Linked DNA regions of Lonchura striata. The protein of the gene in region 1 interacts with the protein of each later gene in a biochemical or structural test. Links are inferred from orthologs where the notes say so. Each region holds a gene or a part of one and is shown on either strand. Other genes may lie near its edges. The genes, in order: PTX3, ficolin-2 and CFH.

Region 1 (6,907 bases):
TTCAGTTTTGGATGATGCTCTGTTGAGTCCTAGGTCAAATTACGTGTAATTTCAATTAACAAAGAGACAAGAGAAGAAAGAAGGAGAGAAATGACAAAGAAACAACAAAACCAACAAAAGACAAAAACTACAATTCTCCTTTGCTGAGATTCAGATTTTCAAATTAAATAAGCATCATATGGAAGGAATAGTTGGTGAACAGAGAACTAAACGTGCATTTGAACAGAAATAGTTAAGCATGCCATTTCCAGGAATAGAAAGGAGCCAGAGAGAGCCAACTGCAGACAGACAGAGATATGCTAAACCCTCTCTCACACATTTTCTTAAGATGTCTGTGCATAATTCAATTTGAAGCCCAGGCTCAAACCAAAATATATAACTTCACATCGCAGTACATGCCTGCCTCAATGGATTTAAGTTTCACTTGAGCAACATATGGAAAACATCTGCCCGTTGCAACCTAGCATGGCTCCTTTTTGTAAACCCTTGGAAGTCCTCACGGCCTCTTTGGATTTGGTTTCCAAGAGGAATCGGATCTCTGCTCTGGCCTGCTGCTTTTCCTCCCATGTACATCTGAGCCCGATAACTTTGGAAGATAAGCAGATCTGATCATGGATGGCAGGAAAAGGATATTTGGGTTCAGACTGGAGCACGTGGGGCTCTTGCCAGATACAGAAAATGCACCCCAGGACACGGCTGGGTCTCACAGCCTCCCCCTGAGCCAAGAAACGAGCACATAACTCAGGGCAGCTTCAGACAGCTCTGAGCCCAGCAGCTCCTAATGAGCCCTGAGGGTCCTTCTCCTTCACAGGAGTGGCTCTCCACTCCAGCCAGCCACACTTCTGCACCTTGTCCTGCTTGGAGAATCCCTGGCTGCTTCCAGGAGGGGATCCCTGCTCTGAGCTCCCCGTGCAGCCCCAGCAGTGCCAAAGGCCAGCTCAGACCCCACTCCCACCCCACCGACACGGCAAATTTATCTTGTTCTGTTCTACACAGTCACAAAGGCCAGGGGCAAAGGAGAGAGATTTGCTGATGAATCACCCTGAAGAGATGAGCAAACTGCTCCACTCTGGCCATTTTCTAACCACGTTCCCTGGGCTCTTCCTGATGTTCCCAGTGGACCTGGACAAAAACGTCACCACTAACGTTCCACGGGATTGATGCCAAGCACCAATTCCCCCAGAGGGAGAACCTGGAGATCAGGAAAGGTTCTTCCCCAGAGGTGCTGGCACTGCCCAGGCTGCCCAGGGAATGGGCACGGCCCCGAGGCTGCCAGAGCTCCAGGACAGCACTGCCAGGGATGCCCAGGGTGGGATTGTTGGGGGGTCTGGGCAGGGCCAGGGGCTGGACTGGAGGATCCTGGGGGTCCCTTCCAGCTCAGGATATTCAAAGATAAAAAGGTGAGAGGATGGATTCACAGGAAATTTTCTAGACTCGCATCATGGTTTGAAATGGAAACATTTTGTACTGAATACACCAAAAATTATTTTCTCTCCGGATGACGTCGTGCTTCCAGCACTAAGTCCTCTCTTTGCACTTGCCCTTGCTTAGCTTGCACTGGGAGTTTTCTGCCCACATGGAGCAGAGCTCTTAAACTTCAGTCAAATTTCAGCAATGATTGCAAAAGATGAAATTCCCATATTCCTGGACAGGCAAATTTCCTCCCAGCTATAGAAGTGTGATGGGAAGGAATCCAAGAGGCAGTAACAAAATTAACAGCTTTAAGCAAGGAAAGACACCAGCCTGAGCCATGTTATTGCCTAAGCTGGGATGTCAGGGATAGGAAGGGATCTGGAAGGGAAGTCTGATTATTCAGTCTGGCAAAGGAGCATTTGGAGTGGGGGGTGTATCAGAGGAGTGATGCAATCACAGATGATGGACTGCAGCCACCAAACCTCTCTAACAAAAAATACTTTGTGCTAGAGCAGCTTTGGGCAGCTTCCTGCAGCAAACACTGCTGGGCTGATATTGCCTAACCAAGATAAATGGAAAGCAAAGGCAATCAGAGCAATCCCCTCCCTCTGCAGTGAGATTAAAGTGACCTCACTGACATGGAATTGCTTTCAAGTGAAGAACCTGTGTGCACACATGTAAATAATCCCAGATATCCCAGTTTGGATCCGTTCTTCAGAGACCTCAAGGAAGGTCAGCAGGCACAACCCACCTGGCCACTTTCTGGTCTTTTCATGTTTGAGGTAGCAAGGGATACTCAGAACTGTTTGTTTGTCACGTCTTTACAGGCTCTGAGGGGATTTATCCACACCCAGCTCCCAGCCCCCTGATTCCCAGAGTTCAGACAGCCAGAGGTGATACTGGGAATTCTGAATAATTCACTTGTTCCCAATCTTGCTTCATCTGCCTCAATCTAAACTAAGAGCCTGCAAATGTTTGTTGTGAGAATGGAAAAACCATCCCACTCAACTCCCTAAATGCTTTCCTTCCCTCTTCCTTCCCTGCCACCCTGACCCCCAGTACTTTCCAGATTAGATTTCCTCACCCTTCCCAAGCAGACCACACGCTGGGAATGACACAACTGCAGCACACAGTGTCCCACAGCTGGGGACACTCCGTGGCTGCACAAGGGGCAGGGAGGGAGCCCAGGGGCGTGGTGGGGTGGTGCCAGCCCTGTACCCCTTCCTGGCAAAGGCTGCCCCGAGCTCCAGCCCTGCCCATCCCAGCAGCACAGAGAGCTGGGGGAGAACAAGGCACCTGGAGCACATTGCAGTGTCCCATGGGCAGAGGGATTCTCACTCCAAAGGGAGCTTCCAAAGACAAAACTCAAACACCAATTTTTCCCTGGGGGTGATCAGGTTTGGCCCATACCTACTGGAAAGTCATGGAATCATTTAGGTTGGAAAGGACCTCCAGGACCAGAGTCCAACCTGTGCCCGATCCCCACCGTGTCCCCACCACCCTCCCAGGGAGGAATTCCTCCCCAGTATCCAAGGCACAGGTTAGTGCAGGTTTGTATAAGCAAAACCAGAGACACAAATGGAAAGGGAACACAGATTCCATGTCAGATGTAATTACAGGAGGGTTTTTTTGCTATTCTCTGGATATTTCATAGCAATACACAATTTGTATGAGATCACCCCTAATCTCACCTAAGAAAAGCATCTCTGACATGATTAATGGCCTCTTGAACCAATAAGATTACAGATCTTAAACCAGATTAATACCATTAAATCTTAGATTAAATTAATCTTTCATCCAAAAGCACCTTTTGCTTTTTCAAAGGTAACAGACACAACTCTGTGCAGCTGCAGTTCCCAAAACAGGATACAGCACTAACAGATTATCCACGGAGTAATGGTGGTGTAACTGCTAATTAGGACTGGAAAAGCAGGACCCTAACAAACCGTTAGAACTCCTTAAGAGCTCTCCTCTATTGCTTAAAGCAATAAACTGTTGGTATGTAATAGAATTTATTATGCAGCAGTGCCAAACTCTCAAAAAAAGTTGCGCTATTTAGCTAAACCGGTGTGTCCAAACCAACTCCAGGTATGTTTATTTTTCTACCAATCCCCTCCAGAGCCCTGGCACACACCGAACTTGCAGGGAACACTTTCTTTTCCACAAACGACGCAAAACAACCCAAAGCGACTCCGCCCGCGCAGCCCGAGCGCTCGCAGCCCCCTGCGATGCTGGCCGGGGCGAGCGCGGCTCTGCCCTTGGCCGCTCAGAGCATCCCCCGGGCAAACCTGGAGGGCTGGGATTGAGCAAGCTGCCCGCCCCCTTCCTCCCCTTCCTCCCTCCCTTCCCCTGGCGGCCAAAAGGCAGGGCAGGAGCGCTCGGCGCTCATTCATTGGGGCTCCGCCGCAGCCCCGGCGCCGGGAGGATGCTGCCCGCAGAGCTCCTCTCCCTGCTCACGCTGCTCTGCGTCTTCAGCGCGGCCGCCTCTGCCGTGGATGAAGACGATGACTACGAGCTCATGTACGTGAACCTGGACAACGAAATCGAAGCTCCAGCCCCTGCGATCGAGGAAGGTGAGTAAACGCAAACTGAATTGAAGTGCAGAACTGCCTTCGGTGCTGCCGAGCTCTTGTAGGAGTTACTACTGCAAACGTAATTTACTTTTTCCAGAGGGAGAAACTCGTGCTCGTAGCAGTGGATTATTGTGGGCAGTAAAGGTAAAGCCCTCGGATGGGGTGCCTTGGGCTGTGCTTTAGGCTCTTGATTTCTCAGTTTTCCTGCAAAAAGCTCCTGCTTTTCAATCGCAGGGGTTTGGGATCTCTGTAATCACACCCCTGCACTGTTCTGTCCCGACACAGAGGGAAAGGCACTGGCCCCAGCATGGCAGGGGGTTGGAACCAGATTGTCTGTAAGGTCCCTTCCAGCCCAAACCAGTCTGAGTCCACGACTCTGTGGCAGTCTGGAGGACACGAGCCTTGCACAGAGCCAGATTTTGCCAAACGCCGCCGTTTAGAACTCGGTACAAAGGCACGGCAACATGTGTACCTTCCCTTCCAGCTGCTTCGTGCGACTGCCAGCGGGAGCACAGCAAGTGGGACAAGCTGTTCATCATGCTGGAGAACTCGCAGATGAAGGAGAACATGATGCTGCAGGCTCTGGATGAGCTCCCCAGGGTGGAGCTGCAGACCCTGAAGGCAGAGCTGAGCCAGCTGGCCACCACCCTGGCGGGCACCTTGGCCACTGTGACCTCGCACGCGGTGTCCCAGGTGGAGCAGGCGCTGGCGAGGGGCAGGGAGCAGGCTGAGGAAGCCAGGAGGCTGCAGGAGTCGGAGCAAGGGAAGGTTCTGGAGCACGTCCTGCAGCTGAGCCACAACGTGTCGGCGAGGCTGGGCTGGCTGGAGAGCGCCTGGCGCAGCAGGGCCCAGGAGCAGGAAACAGCTCTGCAGCAGGACAAGCTGGATGCCAGAGGGGACAGCCTCATCCTGAGCTCGCTGTGGAAGGAGCTGCAGCAGACCCGGGCTGAGCTGAGGGCATCACAGCAATGGGCAGCTCAGCACCTGCTGCCAGCAGGTAAGGCAGGGTGAGAGCTCTGGGGAGGCCACTCCAAATTAACAGGGATCCACACACCCCCTCCTGGGCACCTCCTTCTCCAAAGCAGCCCCAGGAGCAGCAGGGCAGCTTTGAACAAGCTGTGTGTGAAGGGGGGAACCCAAGAACTCATGGAGAAAGAGGCACTGAGCTTTTCAAACGTGGGATCAAAGAAAGGTTTCATCAAAGTCCTCGTGCAGGGCAGAGCCAGCCAGGTTCCCACCTCCTCAAGGCTCTCCCAGATCAAAGCCATTGTCAGAGAGCAGCAAATGTATTTTAGACATCCAGATTATGTTCTGTCACCTTTTGCCTTCCCAGCTGGCGACTCCTGTGCGTTTGCAGCAGTCACAGAGCTCTCTTGTTCTCCTGCACGTTTCCATTCCTTCCTCTTCCTCCATGAGCATCTCCTCACCAGCTCCAGTGTCCAAGAGCTGGACACGCTGCTGCCAGCCAGCCAAGCACACTTCCAGGGCAGGGAAGGCACATTCCCTGCATGCCAGTGGGAATATTCTGCCCTGAAATTCCCACTGGCACAGAGAAATCAGTAACCCGTGCTGCTGTTGTTTGGGGGATTCTTCCCTTTCCAAAACATTTGGGGTGGCTGTAGGAAGGTGGGCTCATACCTCAAATCCCGACTCAGCTTTTCTGTGCAGGGCAAGGAGACACCCAAAAACAGCAGGAGCAGCAGCTTGGGTGTGGCAGAGCAGCCCCTCACTTGTTTAAATGTGGCTGCAGAATCACCACGAAATGGCTCTGCTTTCCACAAATATAAATTATTGCCACCTAAACCCCCCCCAAAATCTACCCCCGCAGGGTGGGTGCGTAGGAAGGAGGGGGTGCAGCATCTCCAGAGGGAACTCTCCCACCAGGGAGCAGAGAGGAGCAGTAATTGCTGCAGCAAAGGCAACAAAAGCCACAAAATTCTTCACATCAAAGCTTTAACAGCCCAACCTGAGCCCATCCCTTCATGCAGGGCAGACTCGGCTTTAGAAGCAAATTGTTTTCACTGCTTTATCACAACACCTCAGAACGCTGGGATGAGGTCTTTGGGCATATTCCTCTTTTCCCCAAACACAAACCTTCAGAGAGCATGATCTCATTCCTTATCTCCCTGCACCCCAGCCAGCCTCAGCAGCTACTCTGCACTAGGTGAGAGCAGCAAACTCGATCTGCATTGAAGATCATCAGTGGAAATTCAGTTTATTTCCACTGGTTCCCACATGATTTTACATAAAACAACCGTACTTGTAAATTTAAAGGCTACATTTTAAGTACTTCCAGAGTATCTCTCTGGATTTTTTTTTTCCAAGGGAATTTTTAGCAACTGACTTTAATTTCTCACATCTTGACTTACTGCCAGCCATACTCTTGAGGGATTTTCTAATCACACTTTTTTGTTCTTCACTGAGGCTGGTTTTAATTTTGTTGAGGCTTTGATAATAGAGCCTGAAAGCCTGGTAATTAAAAGCTTTTTCACAATAGTGCTCCTAAGTAGCATTTTAAGGAGAATCCCCAACAGTTGCTCACTGACCCTGCCCCTCCTCACAAGGGTCAATGGAAGATGTAAAAATCTGCTCAAAGTTGGAGGGAAGCAACCCATGAAATACCACAGCAGCTCAGTCCTGGAGGGCACAAAGAGTCCTTCATTCCCTGGAGCAGAAATTTCCACACACGTTTTAGACATTTCAGATCCTCCAGCTTCTTTAAACAGGAAATGAAGCAGCTTAATTGGAGAAGGGGCTGCTTGTTCCCTCCTGTCACCTTGGATATTAACTTGGGTGCAACCAGGGAACAGCACAGAAACCACCAGAAATGTCTTGGCTTTACTGATCACCAGTTGCTTTCCCAAGCTGCACAAATTTCTGTTTGTGGTTTTAGCTAATCTAATTTCTATCATCAACACTTT
Region 2 (8,042 bases), on another chromosome or scaffold:
ACATGTAATATACACTTTTATTAGACTATCTTATATGACTGATTCTAACATCTTCCTTTTTTGTTTTTACAAAAATATTTTAACCTTTCAGTCACAAAGCTAAGGGAGATAGCTTGCAAGCAATATCAGTTTGGATAATTATTTGAAATTGTACTGGTACAGCCCTAGTCCTGCAAATGCTTGTTGGAATGCCAACAGAGGATTTGATCATTTTTCCTTTCTCTCCAACAGCATTTTTAATGCAAAGTGAATGTTATGGTCGCACTTCTGTGTTGTTCAAGATTTGCTATTTTAGTCTTTTAAAGGAAACAAAGCTGGGCACCAGTTTGCTTTCAGTGTTTCTGCTCTAGCCATTGCAATTTTTCCTGTTTCCCCAGCCCTCAAGAATTAAAAATGGTTTGTGCAAATAGGAGATAGCCCGGAACATCTTGCAGGGAAATCTTGTACCCTTGTGTGTTCCAATGGCAATGCTCTATCAGCACATGCTCTAAATAATGAACTACCTTATCAAGGGCTCTAAGCCAAATAAGTAGTAACCAAGAAAACAGATAAAGGGCTTGAGAAGGTTGCTGTAGGAATGATGGAGGAGTTTGGGTATAAGGGGAATTAGCAACATTGCAATTAATGTTGGAGACAGAAATGCAAGGAGACAGGAATGGTGCTGGGAAATTTTAGGGGCTTTAAGATGATTTTGGTAGCTGGGGAGAATATTCTGAGGAGAAATTGGAGATGCTAGTAAAAACTACCAGCTGCTGCTTGCAAGTGCCCATTCAGCTACTGCAGGGAGGTTCTAGATGTTCTCATTTCATAGCATTAGGAAACCATACAAAGCCAAGACAAGTATGGCTCCTGTATAGCTGCACTGCCCTGCTGCCAAATGTGGACACGCATTCATCCTATATCCCTACTCAAGTCTTGTACCATTGAACTTAAAGATGATCTCTATGAGACAAGCTAAGTAAGGAGTTTAAATCCTGTAAAATAGAGACAGCTGGTATCTTCAAAAGCCATATTTGCTGAGATAGTTACAATTACCATTTTTTACAGAATGCTGAGTTACTACTTTAGGCTGCAGTTGAACTCGGATAAAGCAGATAGCCTTCCTTTGGACCCAATAGAGTGCACATGGCTTATGGGGTTAATTTTTGTAGCAGACAATTGCTATTTTGTTTTTAGGCCCCTGGCAATCATTCAGAAAATAACCACAGACAAAGTTTTCTCCAGCAAGAGAAATAACTTTATTTTTTATGCTACTTTTAAAGGAAAAAGCCAGGTGTTCCAGATGGAAAGCATATGGTCTCTAGTAGGAAACAGTATGTGTTGCTATCATGCTGGCATGGTAGTGTGGAGGAAGGGTTTTAGAAAGGCCTTGGGAATGGGAAACTGAGGAAAAGATACATTTCTGTATGCCCCATTGTTTCAGGAAAGTTTCACTTCAGCATTTTTCTGTAATCCCCTTCTCCCCACCCCTGAGCAGCTCCCATTGGGCCTGACCCCTGGGGTGGTTCTGATGTGTCTAAGCTGGACACTGTCTCTATTGTTTAGACCTTATTTCTTAATTTTGCTGTATAAAACTGTATATGGGCAGTAGCCCAGGGTCTTTGGTCCTTGCCACTGTTCAGGCAATACAATCTCTCTGGACAGCATACCACTGGCCTCTCTTTGTCTCTTTATCTCGACTCCTAGCAGCGACCGAGGCAATGCCGGTGCTCGGACCGTGCTAACCCAGCCGCTGCCTGGTGAGCCCAGGGCAGCGGGACCGTGGCAAACTCTGGTCCCCAGAGGGGACAGCTAGCTGGAGGGTCCCGGGGGGCCGGGGAGGGATGGGGGACAGCAGCAAGTGACCCCCAAAAGCCGCAGTATGTAGTTTGTTGTACAGGATCACAAACTGGACTTTTGAGCCTGGAGCAAATGCAAGTTATGTCTTACTGATGCTCCCAAACTCTGACAACAGACGTTTCACTGCTGTTCCTCTACCTAGCTGCAGCTTCTAGACAGCACTTCTGTGGTGAGTGGTCTTGTATCATGTTACTAAGGGATGCTGCCATACACTTGTTTAGACTATCTAGGTAGGATTAGTGCCTCTTTTTTTTAATGGATTTTTTTGTTTGTTTTGTTTTTTGTTGTTGTTGTTGTTTTTTTACTGCTGTAGACTACTTCTTTTGGCCATTTCTGAGTTCTGTAGTAGAACCAGAGAGCTGGAGACTGTCTGTTTAGGTTTGTGTTTCCATCACCAGTCTCCAGAGTGAGGACTTCAGCAGGGTGGTTGCTAAACAACAGCTTCCATAACAGAAAGTAGAGGAAAAACAAAACCTTTTTCTAAAACATTACTGCATGCACCAAACATTGTCTTCAGTGTATTTCTCTCCAAAATCTAGAGGAGGTATGTCTTGCAGTTATCCTGGAAGTGAATGATTGCAGAATTTACACCAATGTAAAACAAATTAATTATAGTGAGCAGTTCTAGAAAAGGTTTGATTTTCTGTTTCCTGGGAAGTCACTTATTCCTGAAGGATCAGTATGTCTTTCTCTAGAGCAGCAGTGAGCCATGCTGTAATATAAAGTAGCCTCTACTTTTCTAGATGGTGAAGGAGACATTTAAACACTATGTAACATTTTCTAAAGTCTCTTGTATTTAATTTTGGAATAATTTTGGATTTTGTCTTGGAATTACTATAACTGAAATGCATAGAAAACTTCGCCCAATGAGCTCAGAACATTCTTGTAGTGGATGAGGCCTGGGTGATGGGTGAGTAGGCTTAGAAAAGAAGCTGAAAGTTACCTTATTTTGAGCTATCTTCTCTACCTTGAAGCATCTGGGAAACTGAATTTTAATAATTTGTATTTTGAAATGTATGTGTTCTGAAGTTTCCTGCAAAATAGCAACACTGAGGAAAAAAATTAAAATGTTTTCAAAATAGAAGATCATCTTTTCAAAATCATGTTTGTTATTTGGTAGTGTTGCAAAATGTGGAATATGTCAAGATTATCTGAAGTCAGGATGTTCTTTGATGTAAGATCTTTGTATACTTTCAAGCCCTCTGCAACCTTCACATGACAAAAAGCAATTAAGGACATATCGATCTCTGTGCCAATTTCAAAATATACCCTGGGGAGTCTGACCTACTTTGGACTAAGCTTGTTCATTGGCAGTTTCCTCCCTGCTTCCAAAAGTAGTTGCATCAACAAGGACACTGCTTCTTTCCCAGGTGAAAATGGGGAGACATTAATGTCTACCAGGCTGGATGGAGCCCACAGCTGGTAACACTTAGGGGGATGCATTAGTTCTGGGCAGATATATCACAGCTGCCTTCATAACATACATTCTCAGCCCAACCCAGAGATGGAACCTGCTAATGGAGAACCTGGAAAAACCCAGGCAGACCTTTTTTATTTATTTTTAGATTTGTCTGGACAGATCTAGCCTGGAGTCCTAGAGAGACTGTAACTATGGGGTAATCTGCAAGGCCTTTGCTTTTTGGAGTAATTTACAAAAGGGAAACAGATGAAAGCAGCAGCTTTTGCCTCCAGTTGAAACAAGGTATTGCAGCTGTTTCCACAAAGAGAGCAGAGGCACTGGGGCAGGAGAAGGCTTCTCAGTGCAGGGGACTGGCTCTACATTACCTCCATCTGCCCCATAGTCCAGACATCAGTCTATTGCAGATGGACAGCACAGGCTGTACAGATGAGAAAAGAGGTGTACAGTTCACAGTCACCCTAGATCTGTCTTGCATGGATCTCTCCCTCCCTAGCACCTGCCAATCCTTTTTCTCTTTCCTTCTGGGAGGCTTCCTCCTGAAGGAAGAAAGGATCTGATCTCATTTTGTCCCAAGAACTGCAGCACAGCAGTTGCCACAAGTGAGATGCTTTTTCTCATGTAAAGCAAAACCCAAACTATAATGCAGCCCATCTTGTCACAATTCCTCTGATTATTCTGCAATTTTTCCATACAGGAGAAGGAAAGTACATTTCCCTGCCAGAATTGTTTCTTAGGAATTAAAATAACTGCAACATCTACTGGGTTATTATTTTATATTATTACATATATAAATAAGAACATGTGTATAAGTGTATATCTGGGTTATATGGGAGATGCTGAATTTAAGTGGCAATCAAATACTTACCTCTCCCTAACCTTCTTCCATTTGCTTAACATTAAACTGTCATGTATCATTGGCACTTGGGCTGTTAGAGGCACGTTATGATAGAAGTGCTTGAGGGGGAGCTGTGTTCTGCATCTGATATCCCGGGAAAAAAAATCTCCAATAAATCAGTCTCCTCTGAACTGGGATGTAACAATAAGGAGGAAAAATGTAAGTTTTTCCCTCTACTAAAATTCATAAACTTTACAGGTTCTGGGTCTGAAAATAATAGGAGGAAGCAGACTGGACCTCTAATAACCTGGCAGAAATGAGCAAAGCACGGGGTGAAAGAAACCAGAAATCCTGCTCACTAGTACAATGAACAGTTGAGGGGGGGGGGAATCAAACATGCTCTGTCTACCCACCCTTGCCTGAGTTTGAACTCTGTCATTCATGAATCATGCATGCAAAGTGGTGCTGGGCTGCCAGGCAGGAAGAGCGCTGGAATGTGAGCCAGGCTCTCAGGAATGTGTAGCCTCTCTCTGCCACTGGCCTCAGCTGACCTTGGGCTTTAGACTCCCTGTGCCTCAGTTTCCCCATCTACACAGTAAGTTCTGCTCTTCCTAAAGGGCTACTAGCAGGGAGGATGAGAGGAGCTGTCTACACTTAGGTAAATATGGCTTTGCTGGTTTATTTTCTCTAGAAATACAATATGAGAAGGAAAAGGCATCCAAAATTTGCAGAGGACAAAGGTGAGGCAGGCTGGGGCAGCCAGGCAAGAACTTTCCCATCAGACTTTTGGAAAGCAGCTTATCTGCAAAACAGCTTGAGACTCAGCCAAGCCCCAGACCTGAGAGCAGCCAGTGGGCAAGTACAGAGGTGGAGCTTGCACTGAGGCTGTCTGCTAGATATAAAATGCTTGGATGGGTCAGTGCTGACCACAGCTCCCAGGAAGTGGCTGAGGGGAGCTGTGCAGAGAGCAGCGCTAGCAATGGAGACAGCAATCCCAGCTCTTTTGGTACTACTCAGCCTAAGAGTGACTATTTGTGATACTGAGGACACCTGCTCAGGTGAGTAAAGCACAAATCTTACTGCTATCTCACTGAGACAGCCTGTTTCATCCCCCCTGATAAGAGAAGGAGGTTGCAAAGGGAGGGGGAGAAGTAGCATATGATTTTTTTTTCTTCTTTGCTTTTTTAAATTCAGCTGCCAGTGGGAGGAGAGTACTGGGGAGGCTGAAGTCTCAGCAGCTGCTTAAGAAAGCTACTGTCTCCAACTAGTGATGTAACACTGTTCCCTCACCAGTGGGGTCTCTAGGAACAGACAGTCTCTGGTGAGGTTCCCCGCGCCCCCCGCCCCCCCTGCCCTCCCCCGTTTGGGGTTTTTTTTTTAGTAGGGCCTCAGTGCAGTTACCAAAGGATACAGAGCAATATAAAAGATCAGTCTGGGGATGCTGTGCAGCACAGCATTCTGACTGTATTCCCCAGGAAGGCCTGGGGCAATTTCAAACAGACCTGCCATCAGGAAATTCAGAAGAAGTCTTACCCTTACTGTCCAGAGATCCATCACTTACTCTGCTATCAATACCCCATTGGGGCACCTCTTAGCTTATGTTTTATTAATTATAGTATATTTATCATGCATGCAATGTCATATATATCAGCCTCCTCTCACACTGAACTCCCCTGAAGCCAGAGAGATGCAGAGTCTGGCTTCTCTAATATGTGAGATCCTCAATGCCATCTGTCAATCCATACAACACCTCAAAACTTCCATACTTGTTGCTTTTGATTACACTGTTCCTCAACTTCAAAGGATTTGGTTTCCTCTCCAAGACATTTCAGAACCTTAATAATCTTCACAAAAACTGTCTTAATTTCTCAGAGGTGAGAATAGTGGGACTGGGTGATGCTGACCGACTTGCCATTCTTCAAGGATGTCCAGGGATCCCAGGTGTCTCTGGCCCAAAAGGAGAAGCAGGTCTCCCAGGAACAAAAGGTAAGGCCCCTAAAGCCAGTGATGAGCACCCTGAGATGAGATGGTTTTGTTGCTTTGGATAGGGGAAGCAAGCTGAGTCTGGAGCAGTAGCTGGCCTGGCACTGGCTGCTGTGAGGAACTGGAGAATTGAAGTGGAAACCACCCCAATTAGATATATGCTGGTACACATAGAGTGACCTGTTTCTTCCTTGAGTCCTGTCCTGTCAATCTGATGTGATCTTGGGGTGTGAAGTGTCTCATTTGTTTCTTCTGCAGAAAATAATCCATTTATTTTTTGGGGCTGTATCCAACAATCTGGGTGGGAGGGAGGCTGAGATGCTCCTGCCTTTTTCTGGGGGAACAGTGTGGGAAATATACTGGCAACCCCTGTTCTGGGGAGCAAGGGAGATGGGGGTCCTTCCGAGTTTTCATAGCCAATGCACAGAGAAGGTGAATCACATCAACTGAGCGAGATGATCCACCACAGTAAAATCCATGGACTGGCTCCACAATGTAACAAAGCTCCTAAGAATTCTAAACTGCAAATTTAGACTTTGAATGGCAGTACCAGAGTAGTAAGGCTTCAATAGAAAAAAAGGACTAAGGTAAAAGTACAGTAAAATAGGTTACAAGATTGAATCTGATTACCTCAGCTCCCATGTTTCAGTGAAAGCCAAGGCCCAGTTGCCCAGGTGACTCCCTGCTTTGGTTAGTTTGTAACATACCCATAAAAAATGAGTCTCTTTGCAGGAGAAATGGGAGACCAGGGATTCCCCGGGAAAGCAGGACCACCTGGTGCAAAAGGTAATGTGAAACATATGCAGCTCTAATCTGTAAATGCCCCCAAGCTCGGGACATGTACTGTGAGACTGGGTCTACAGAGATGAACTGCAGGACTGTTCATAGGCTAAGAAATAGTGCTGAAGTAGAATAGGAAAAGCCTGATTTGGGGTATGGCTCTTGCATGGAGTGAATACTAGAAACAGTATCCTTGAGTGTCTGGGACCACAACACAGAAGAAGATAACACTCTTCTTGAAATTTCTCACTGACCCTAAAATCAGACTTCTCCTCATTTTCCACTCCTACCCTAACCTGCCTCCAGCATAACAAGCCTGCCCAAATGCCCCCTAGCTCTGAGGAGCTTTGGAGCTCTCTATGGATCTTCAGCCCAGAGGCCTGATGCAGAGGCACTATGCTGAGTGCTTGTTCTGCCAATTGCCAGGGGCAATTTAAAGAACATACCAATGGAAAGAATGATCTTATTTTACTATGAATATAAAGGCAACAGAGTAAAATAATAAATTCAATAAAACTACATGCTCGGCTTTGGCAACAAGCAAAAATTAGCAAGGTAATGCACATAATCATTACTATACGAGAGACAGGATAGTCATTTAGAAGGATACATCACCAATTGCCTAAATACTTTAAAATCATCCAGTCACTGGGGAGCCCTGTTTCACAGAGAGGACCTGGACAACCCTTCCGGGCAATTGGGAAAATCCTACATGGTGTATCCATAGGTGTGGTCTCCAGATTTGCCCTGAAAGAGAGTCCAGTGTTTATAGGCCCAAATCAGCTAGTCAAAATGACTTGATTTTATTTTTAGCTCAGGAATGCCTGCGTCTGATGGCATGCTTCCTGCTTAGCCAGGACCAGTGCTCAGAGCCCAGGTCTTGGCTGGGAGGGTTTTCCCCTAAAATACCTTACAAACAAGCCTCTCAGTTGGAAAAGCTTCTTAAAATGATACATTTCTGGCAGACAACTACACAAGGTTATAAACAGCTAGCATAAGCATCTTTGTCATCTATCTTTTAGGTAAATAATACTGATGGTGTTAGTCACACAATATTCATGATCCATCTTGTAAGTCTACTCTGGCTTAGGCCTGCTGCTCAGGCCTAGGCACATCATTGCTTTCAGCAGCCTCCAGCCTTCAACTCAGTGTGCAGTGCCCACTTGACCAGAACGGGATCAAACA
Region 3 (7,400 bases), on another chromosome or scaffold:
AAAAAAATGTTCTTGGAGTCCTCCTATCTTTCCACTTGATGCCTGTTTTTTTTAAATGGCTGTGCAGTAGCAAACTGTTCTGCTGGCATGAAAGGTTTGATAGTGATTCAGTAACAGTAACAGACTGAAATAGCCCAAAGTGAGAACAGAGTTTTAAGGTCACTGTAAAGTTCCAAAGCTGGGGCAGAAAATAAAATGAAGAATTTCAAATTTGATAATTCCACTGAAAGCATTAAAAAAAAAAAAAAAAAAAAAAAGTGGTTTCATATATCTAATTAAACTGCAGTGGTAGTTGGTAGAAGGTGTGTTTTCCACAGCACAGTGAGCAGGACTCTGCACTGCAAACATGATCTTTAGAGTTGTTAGAGACACAGGGTATCCAATCTGACCTGATCCTTTTATTCTTCTGTGCTAAACCATCAGAGAGCAGATCTGAAAGGAGCAGTGCACACATCAGGGCCACCTGGGCCTGGTGCACCCCGGCCCTCTGGTGTCTGTGGTGACCTGAAAAGAGCTGTAGGAACAAGAGAGCAGCAGCACTGCGTCATGGGAGAGCAAGCTGCTGGGAAATGCTGATAACCTGGGAATTGCCTTCCAGTACATCTTCACTTGCTGCGAGTAGGAGGACTTACTTCATTTACAAGTAGGGTTACTGACAGCTGCTTTTATATAGGAGGAGAACATCTTTTTTTTGCAAAGAACACCTTTTCAAGTTATTTTCACTTCACTTTTGAGTATAGAGCACCAAGGCAGGAGAATGAGGTGATACTTAAACACAAGTAATCAGAAGTGGGTTTATATTACTTTTAGAATTGGACATGATAGATCTACTGTCTAAGCACGTGCTGTTATCTAATTTACTTTAGAAGAAGCAGAAGGAATATTCCTAAACAATTCTTAATATTGTGTTTTGGTTTTCAAGGGTGCTCCCATGACCCGTTCTTGATGAAATGGCCTGAAGAGCATCAGCTGTTAAGACAGGAACACAAGTTCAAGCATCCAAAAGTGTCTGAGAGTGCCTGTGCCACAGCTGATCCTGTTAAAGGGGATGATGAACCACTAGGAAGTTAGCAGGTGAGTTCTGAAAAAGGGAAGGACCATCTTGCAAATAATTGTATGGGATAAATGAAATTGTAACAGGAGGGAAAACAGTGGGAATGGAGCAAGTGGTCAAAACGAGAAGAGGTGGGTTTGACACTGTTGTACATTCAGCCTCTGGCATCAAAAACTCTGTGTGGACATTCCAGCAGCCTTCATCCAACTCCCGCAATGATTGGGCAGGTGGGACAGGCAGGGACTCGAAGCTGGGGTGTGGTGTTTCCTCCCTGCTGTGTGCATTAGCAGGTGTTAAGGAGCAGTAAAGTACAAAATAAGTACCCACATCTACTACAGGAGTACCTGTTAGAGGGAAACTGTGAGTATAGCTGTGGGTGGGTGGGTGCACAGCTTTGTGTGCATGATTAGAGCTTTGGGGGATTAGTGAACAATGGTTCTTTATTTGTTAGGTGTTGATTAACATTTTGTTTAACAGTGTATTGGCCATACTGAATCTGAAACTATATTCCAGCGATTGCCAGTTAATTGTATTCTATTAATAAATCAATAAACCAGTTTGATTATGATTTGTTTTAAATTAAATCAAGTGAGAATTTTTTCCCTGTCACACCCTTAGGTTGTGATTGTAGCAGTTAAGTGATGTTTTAATGTAATCATGAGTCACAGAAGTTGTACCAGTGGGAGGAGAGACAAATGTTGAGGTTGCAAAGACAACCTCACTATTAATACAGTGGGATAAGACATTTTCATGACAATTGTTGGGCAAAGCAGTGGCTGATTCTTCTGTGTGCTCTAATGAGGTCATTAAACTCAAGTGTGACAGCAAGCATGCTGTTAGAACATGCTGAAATTATACTGGCCAGAGATGCTATTTCAGCTGTGGCTAACTAAGCTCCTATTGCCACTTAACATTAGTCCCCTGCAGAATACATTGGCTTCCTGAGATCTCTGTTCCTAACACAAAATGGCTTCCAAACACTGGTCTCAAAATTATTCTGGCTTGGACAAACACTCTGAACTTTGATGTTAAGCCTCCATGTTGAGTAAGGAACTAATAAAAACCTTATTCTGACCTCACACTGACTTTGCCTTGTGGAGGAGTTTTGGGCAAGATAACTTCCAGCCTGTACTTTCCTATGATCACACACCTTGACATGCAGTTTTGCTCACACAGGGAATGTGCTGTGATATTGTGGCTGTCTGGCTGTGTCCACAGCAGTATTTTGAGTGCAGTCACACCAGTTCTCAAAACAGGAGCTCTGCTTCCTTAGATGAAATCCAGCTGCTCTTAGTTGCATAACTACTTTGACGTTTCTGCCTTTCTCATGAGTAGGAGGTAAACTCTAAAGATGAGGGTTTTTCTCCTTGCCTTAGAAGTCCTGAGGCATGGTTTGTCTCTGCGCTCTGTTTTGGTAGAGACTGGAGGTGGCTAAACCGAGTGAGACCCAATTAAAGACAATCAATTTTGAACTGATAGCCCGTGGATGAGGTGAGGAAGGAAAGAAAGTTTAAGCTTCTGATTCTATTTCCATTTGCCTAGGGTAAGTTTAATAAATTACCTAAGAAGATCACAAACCCAGGACTGGAAATGACCGAGTCTGGTCTCTTGCTTTGTGATTGAAGATGATTTTTTTGTATAGGCCTATGTTATGTGTATACAAATATTGCTTCAAAGCTTTACCAGCTGAGTCTTCTAATTCTCAGTTTAAATTTGTTCATAGACATTTTATATCTGTTTTTGCATGCTTATCTTTTAGCTTAAATAGTTTTAGCAATGTCTGTATTTATAGACAGCAGTCAGGAAATTTGTGATACCCCTTCCAGTTGTGGTTTAGCTGTACCTGAAAGTATCTTTGACTGTATTCAAGTCCATAATTATTTGACATGTGGATTAATAACGCAAAAGCAGTTTGAGCTTCATCACATCAGACTATTTAATACTTAAAACTGGAGAAATTGCAATTTTGACAGGTGCATGAAATATCCATTTACTGATAAGGTGTGCACCAGTAACTGCAAACTGGATGCAGATCGATCATCACAGGGTCATGGAGCACGGTGAGAATTCATTCTCCACAGGAGTCATTTGTCAAGGGGAAGGGAAAGGAAGAGACATTTTGCTCTCTGAAGTCATTGCTGTAGGAGAAACAGCTGAATGCCAGTTTTACTAAGACCGTTATTTAGAACTGGTGACTGAAAACACAGCCCAAAGTTTAAAAAAAAAATTCCACCTGCATTTTAAGAAGAGAAAAAGTTTTAACTGCTGTAAATGCTGTGGAATTGCATTTAAGATTGGTTTGATTTGAGATCTGTTCTGTAGACACTCATTTTTATCCTATAGCAGCACACAAACTAAGCTAGTGATTTTTAAGGATATGTTGTGTGGATTTTTGGGAACATATACGAGATGGATCTGTGTGTACTCCATCTAGTCAGACACCACTGTGGAGCATCTGGCCTGTATCTGTTTTATGTCCATCTCCTGTGAGCACTTTGTACTGTTACATTTTTTTTTTTCTCCCTAATTCTCAGTCTCAAGCAATCCTCTTCATATAATCTACATTTTCACCAGAGAGCACTTGTGAAGCCAAAACATTTTATGAAACTATTGATAAGACTGTTGCTTACACAGACCCATGGGAAGTTCCTTTGTTAGGCATATATATATATGTTCCTTTTTGCATAGTTTTATATTTTTCTTTGGAAGGTTCATTATCTTTGTTACAATCCATTCAGATCTTCCATCTTATCATTTCTCATGTGATACTAAAGTGCTTCAACATCACCTGGGTTTATTTAATGAGAAATATGACCAAATACATTTCCTTTGCTGTGGGTAGTTGGTGATCTTCTATAAGAAACAGTGAGTAACCCCTTAGTCACTCTGTAGTTTTGCCTTTTTGTTTTGATTGCTTGCAACGTATATTTTGAATTATATGTGTAGAGAAGTTCATTTTTGCACACAATTAACATGAATTTGTTTCCTAACTAAGCATATAACACACAAGGAAATGCAAAATAATTTATTTGTACAGCTTTTAGATATCAAAAGACATAACCTTCTGTGATCATGGAAGGGATAAATATGGGGGGGAAAAAAAGGGTGATGTAGAAAGGAGCAGACCACAGGGAAAGGAATGTGTCAACCTAAATTGCCAGGCATTTGTTTATTTATTCATTTAGCAAGGTTTAGAGAGGGGGTTTAAAAAAAAAGAAACACTTGTGTGTTGCAAGAGGTTTAGGGGAAGTGACTACTGAAATCAGAGTATAAATGTTTTGCAAGGTCAGTCCATGGACTAGTTAAGTAAAAAAGCAGTGGAAATAACACAAAGTAGTGGGAAAAAAGTAGGCTACAACACTGGATGTGTTTGCTGAGTTTTTGAATCTCTAGAATGTTGTTCCTGGGCTATGCAGCTCTGCTCTTGTGTTGGATGCATTGTGCTGCAGAAAGAGGTAAGATTTAACTCCTCTCTTAGAGTGTATATGAAGGTGGCAACTAAAGCAATATGCAAAGGCATTGTAGGGTTTTTCATGAACCTCTGACAATAATTGACATTTCTTCTGGCAGCATTTAGCACCTTTAGTATTTAGTGTCCTGTCATAGGATTACTTTCACCTATTTATTTTGCTGTTGTTAATCTCTTGCCCAACTTTTCAAATGCTTTATATCACTATAAACTGGAGGCAGACAACTAATTTTCTATTAATTACATTTGCTAATTATTCTAATATCTAAAACCAGGAAGCAGTTGGTAGATTAAAATAGAAATGTACATTTATGGAATGTATTGTTTCTGTCTGAAACAACGTGTAAGGTGATCTGAGGAAGATGAGTGATTACTACATTGACTGAAAATCTTCTAATATATCTATTGACTGACTGGTTTTAGTCTAGGAAAGGAGATAAATATATACAGGTATGCTTTTTTCATGTTTAAAGAGGTAGCTACATATCTTTTCAGAAACTGCTGATGTTTCTGTTTCTCTGTTCCATGTATTTTTCTCGGTTTGTGTTTATATCATTTAATATATCCTTCGTTATTTAATTTGTTTGCTTTATGTCTGAGTTTCTTGGCATAGAGTGTTATGCAGAGGGTGCTGTGTGGTTTTGAGCTAGTATGTCTCTGCTTGGTTCAGGATGGTTTTAATTTTAGTTAAAAGTTATGAAGACCTTATTAATCAAAAAGATCCAATGGATTTTACTTTGAAAAACTGAAAAATCAGGAAATTAAAGTAATCTCCTATCTTAAATATAAATAAATATTGCCTCAAAGCAACTAATAGTCTATTTTGTTTGCAAAGAAGTGCAGAAAAGTCCTGGAATTTGAAACTAAAGTTTGCCTGAATTTGCACTTTGTTTTCACAGTGCTTTCTTTAGGTCAGGGAGATTGGAAAGAAATGTGAATTCAGCAAAATTTGATTTATCCAGGATAACTATTACCATGGGTCAGGCAGCATTCTTGTTTAAGCTTCATGCTGAAAGTCTGTGAGAGTTGTGGAAAGTCTTCCGAGTGCTGGGTTTTGCACAAGGACTGAAAGCCACTTGCACCTGGATTTGTAATTGTGCTTGTACTTTTTAGAACCTGCTACCAGCATATTGTTGCCAAAAAAGCAGCTTGAGCTATTTCTAACTGAGGTCAAGTCAAATGTAAATACTGAATGAGTAATTCTAGCTCTCCTGGTCTGTCAGTAAGGAATTTGAAGGTATCCATTCTGTGCATGCTTTTTAATATAGAAATAAAACCCTCAGGTATTGGTGGGTACATGATGGAATTAATATAGTTTTGATGGACAACCTGTCAGCTGATCTCTTCACCTCAAGCCACTAAGAAACTGCATACACACATACATACACATATATATACACATACATATACTCTTGACACTTGATGGTAACACATAGTTTAACATCAGGGCAGGAGTGGGGAAGAGTTGAGATAAAACCCAGTGAGACCCAGCAAATCTTAGTAATGGTGAAGAGACTAAAGAGATGATCTTTCATCAGAAGGGGAGTGTAAGGTAAGCAAGAAAGAGTTAAGAGGGTGCATGCTGCACAACAATAAAAATATGATACAATTCAGAGGGAGGAATAGAGAAGCTGTCACTATACTCAATAACCTATTTTTTAAATTAGAGACTTCAGTGTGCGCTCTCAGCTTGCAAACTGAAAGTGCTAATTCAAACAAGATATAATTAGAAATATGTGGAATTATAAACATTCTTTTTCTTGCCATTGAAAATAACTTTTTGGGTAAACTAACAATTTTTAACATATTTGAAAGAACCAGCTAGAGGATTCCTGTTCATTTTGCTTATTCCTACATTTTGCAAAAAATGTTGTTAGAATTTGAATCTGTATTTTTTTTTTTTTTTTTTTGCTAAAAAAGCCTCTCCCGCAGTTTCTGGAGTAGCCTAGTACCCTCTAGTGCACAGAAACATAATTTTTATTCAGATGCAATCATTCATAGGAGGGAGAATACTTATCAAAGTAATTGGAAAAAATGGGTGTGAGCACACTCTTCCTTTAGCACATCAGCAGTATTGTTAAAGCTTGTCTAATTCTTTTGGCTACTTAAAACAGCCAAACTAAAGTTATCAAAGCTCAAAATTGACATAACTTTCAAATTATACAGTTTCAAATAATGTGGTTTTGTTTCTTTGCAACAAATCTTTTTTTTTTCCATTTTTAAAACCATTTTATAAAATTATGCCTCTAATTTGGTCAGTACTCCCCTGACTGAAATACAACAAGTGAGTTCTCAAGGATGTGTCTTTGTAAACTCAAGTAAAACTCACTTTCCACACCTTGGGATTGCTAACACAAAGTGAGCAGATAAAATACACCTTCTTCCACAGCAGCTACTTAATATGTGGTGCCATCTCTGCAGTGCAATTCAGTGAGCTTTAACTCCACATCCCTCACATGAGGAAAGATCCCAAAGATTTGTCCCATAGTCCTATTTCCAGGCAGCATCTGGACAACCTGTAGGAAGATTTCAGTGAGAATGCTGCTCTTTTCTCAAACCCACGGCCTTACAGTTAAGTGGGGAGAGGACATCTGTGCCAGGTCTCTGCTGAATAACGTATCTACTCACCACAGGATTTCTTTCTCTGGTGGGCATTTTTTCTCCTGTTTACTTTCTATACAGAGAGTTCATTCCTTTCCCAAGGCTTTATTACCTCAGGGCTTGTTTTATTTATTCCTGATGAATGCTCACCTTTCATGTTCAGATGGAAAACAGAGTTGATTGCATTTAGTTAGCTAGGCTGTTCAGACTCTGTTACTCTGTTCAGCTTCCAAAATGTGTATATTTCAGCAACCTAAGCACTGAAAATTAGTCACT

The links.
Region 2: the proteins of PTX3 (region 1) and ficolin-2 interact in a biophysical measurement, tested with the Homo sapiens proteins (2 studies listed by IntAct, with this or other methods). The link is inferred for Lonchura striata from reciprocal best matches to the Homo sapiens genes PTX3 and FCN2.
Region 3: the proteins of PTX3 (region 1) and CFH form a complex in vitro, tested with the Homo sapiens proteins (3 studies listed by IntAct, with this or other methods). The link is inferred for Lonchura striata from reciprocal best matches to the Homo sapiens genes PTX3 and CFH.

What each region holds. Positions count from the first base shown.
Region 1 is NC_134612.1:26,001,793-26,008,699, reverse strand, and holds the start of PTX3 (pentraxin-related protein PTX3), read left to right. Parts: upstream 1-3,838; coding exon 3,839-3,986; intron 3,987-4,470; coding exon 4,471-4,983; intron 4,984-6,907.
Region 2 is NC_134624.1:6,030,089-6,038,130, reverse strand, and holds the start of ficolin-2, read left to right. Parts: upstream 1-5,042; 5' UTR 5,043-5,073; coding exon 5,074-5,152; intron 5,153-5,966; coding exon 5,967-6,080; intron 6,081-6,809; coding exon 6,810-6,863; intron 6,864-8,042.
Region 3 is NC_134611.1:26,443,093-26,450,492, reverse strand, and holds the start of CFH (complement factor H), read left to right. Parts: upstream 1-4,306; 5' UTR 4,307-4,448; coding exon 4,449-4,509; intron 4,510-7,400. UniProt on the Homo sapiens protein: Glycoprotein that plays an essential role in maintaining a well-balanced immune response by modulating complement activation.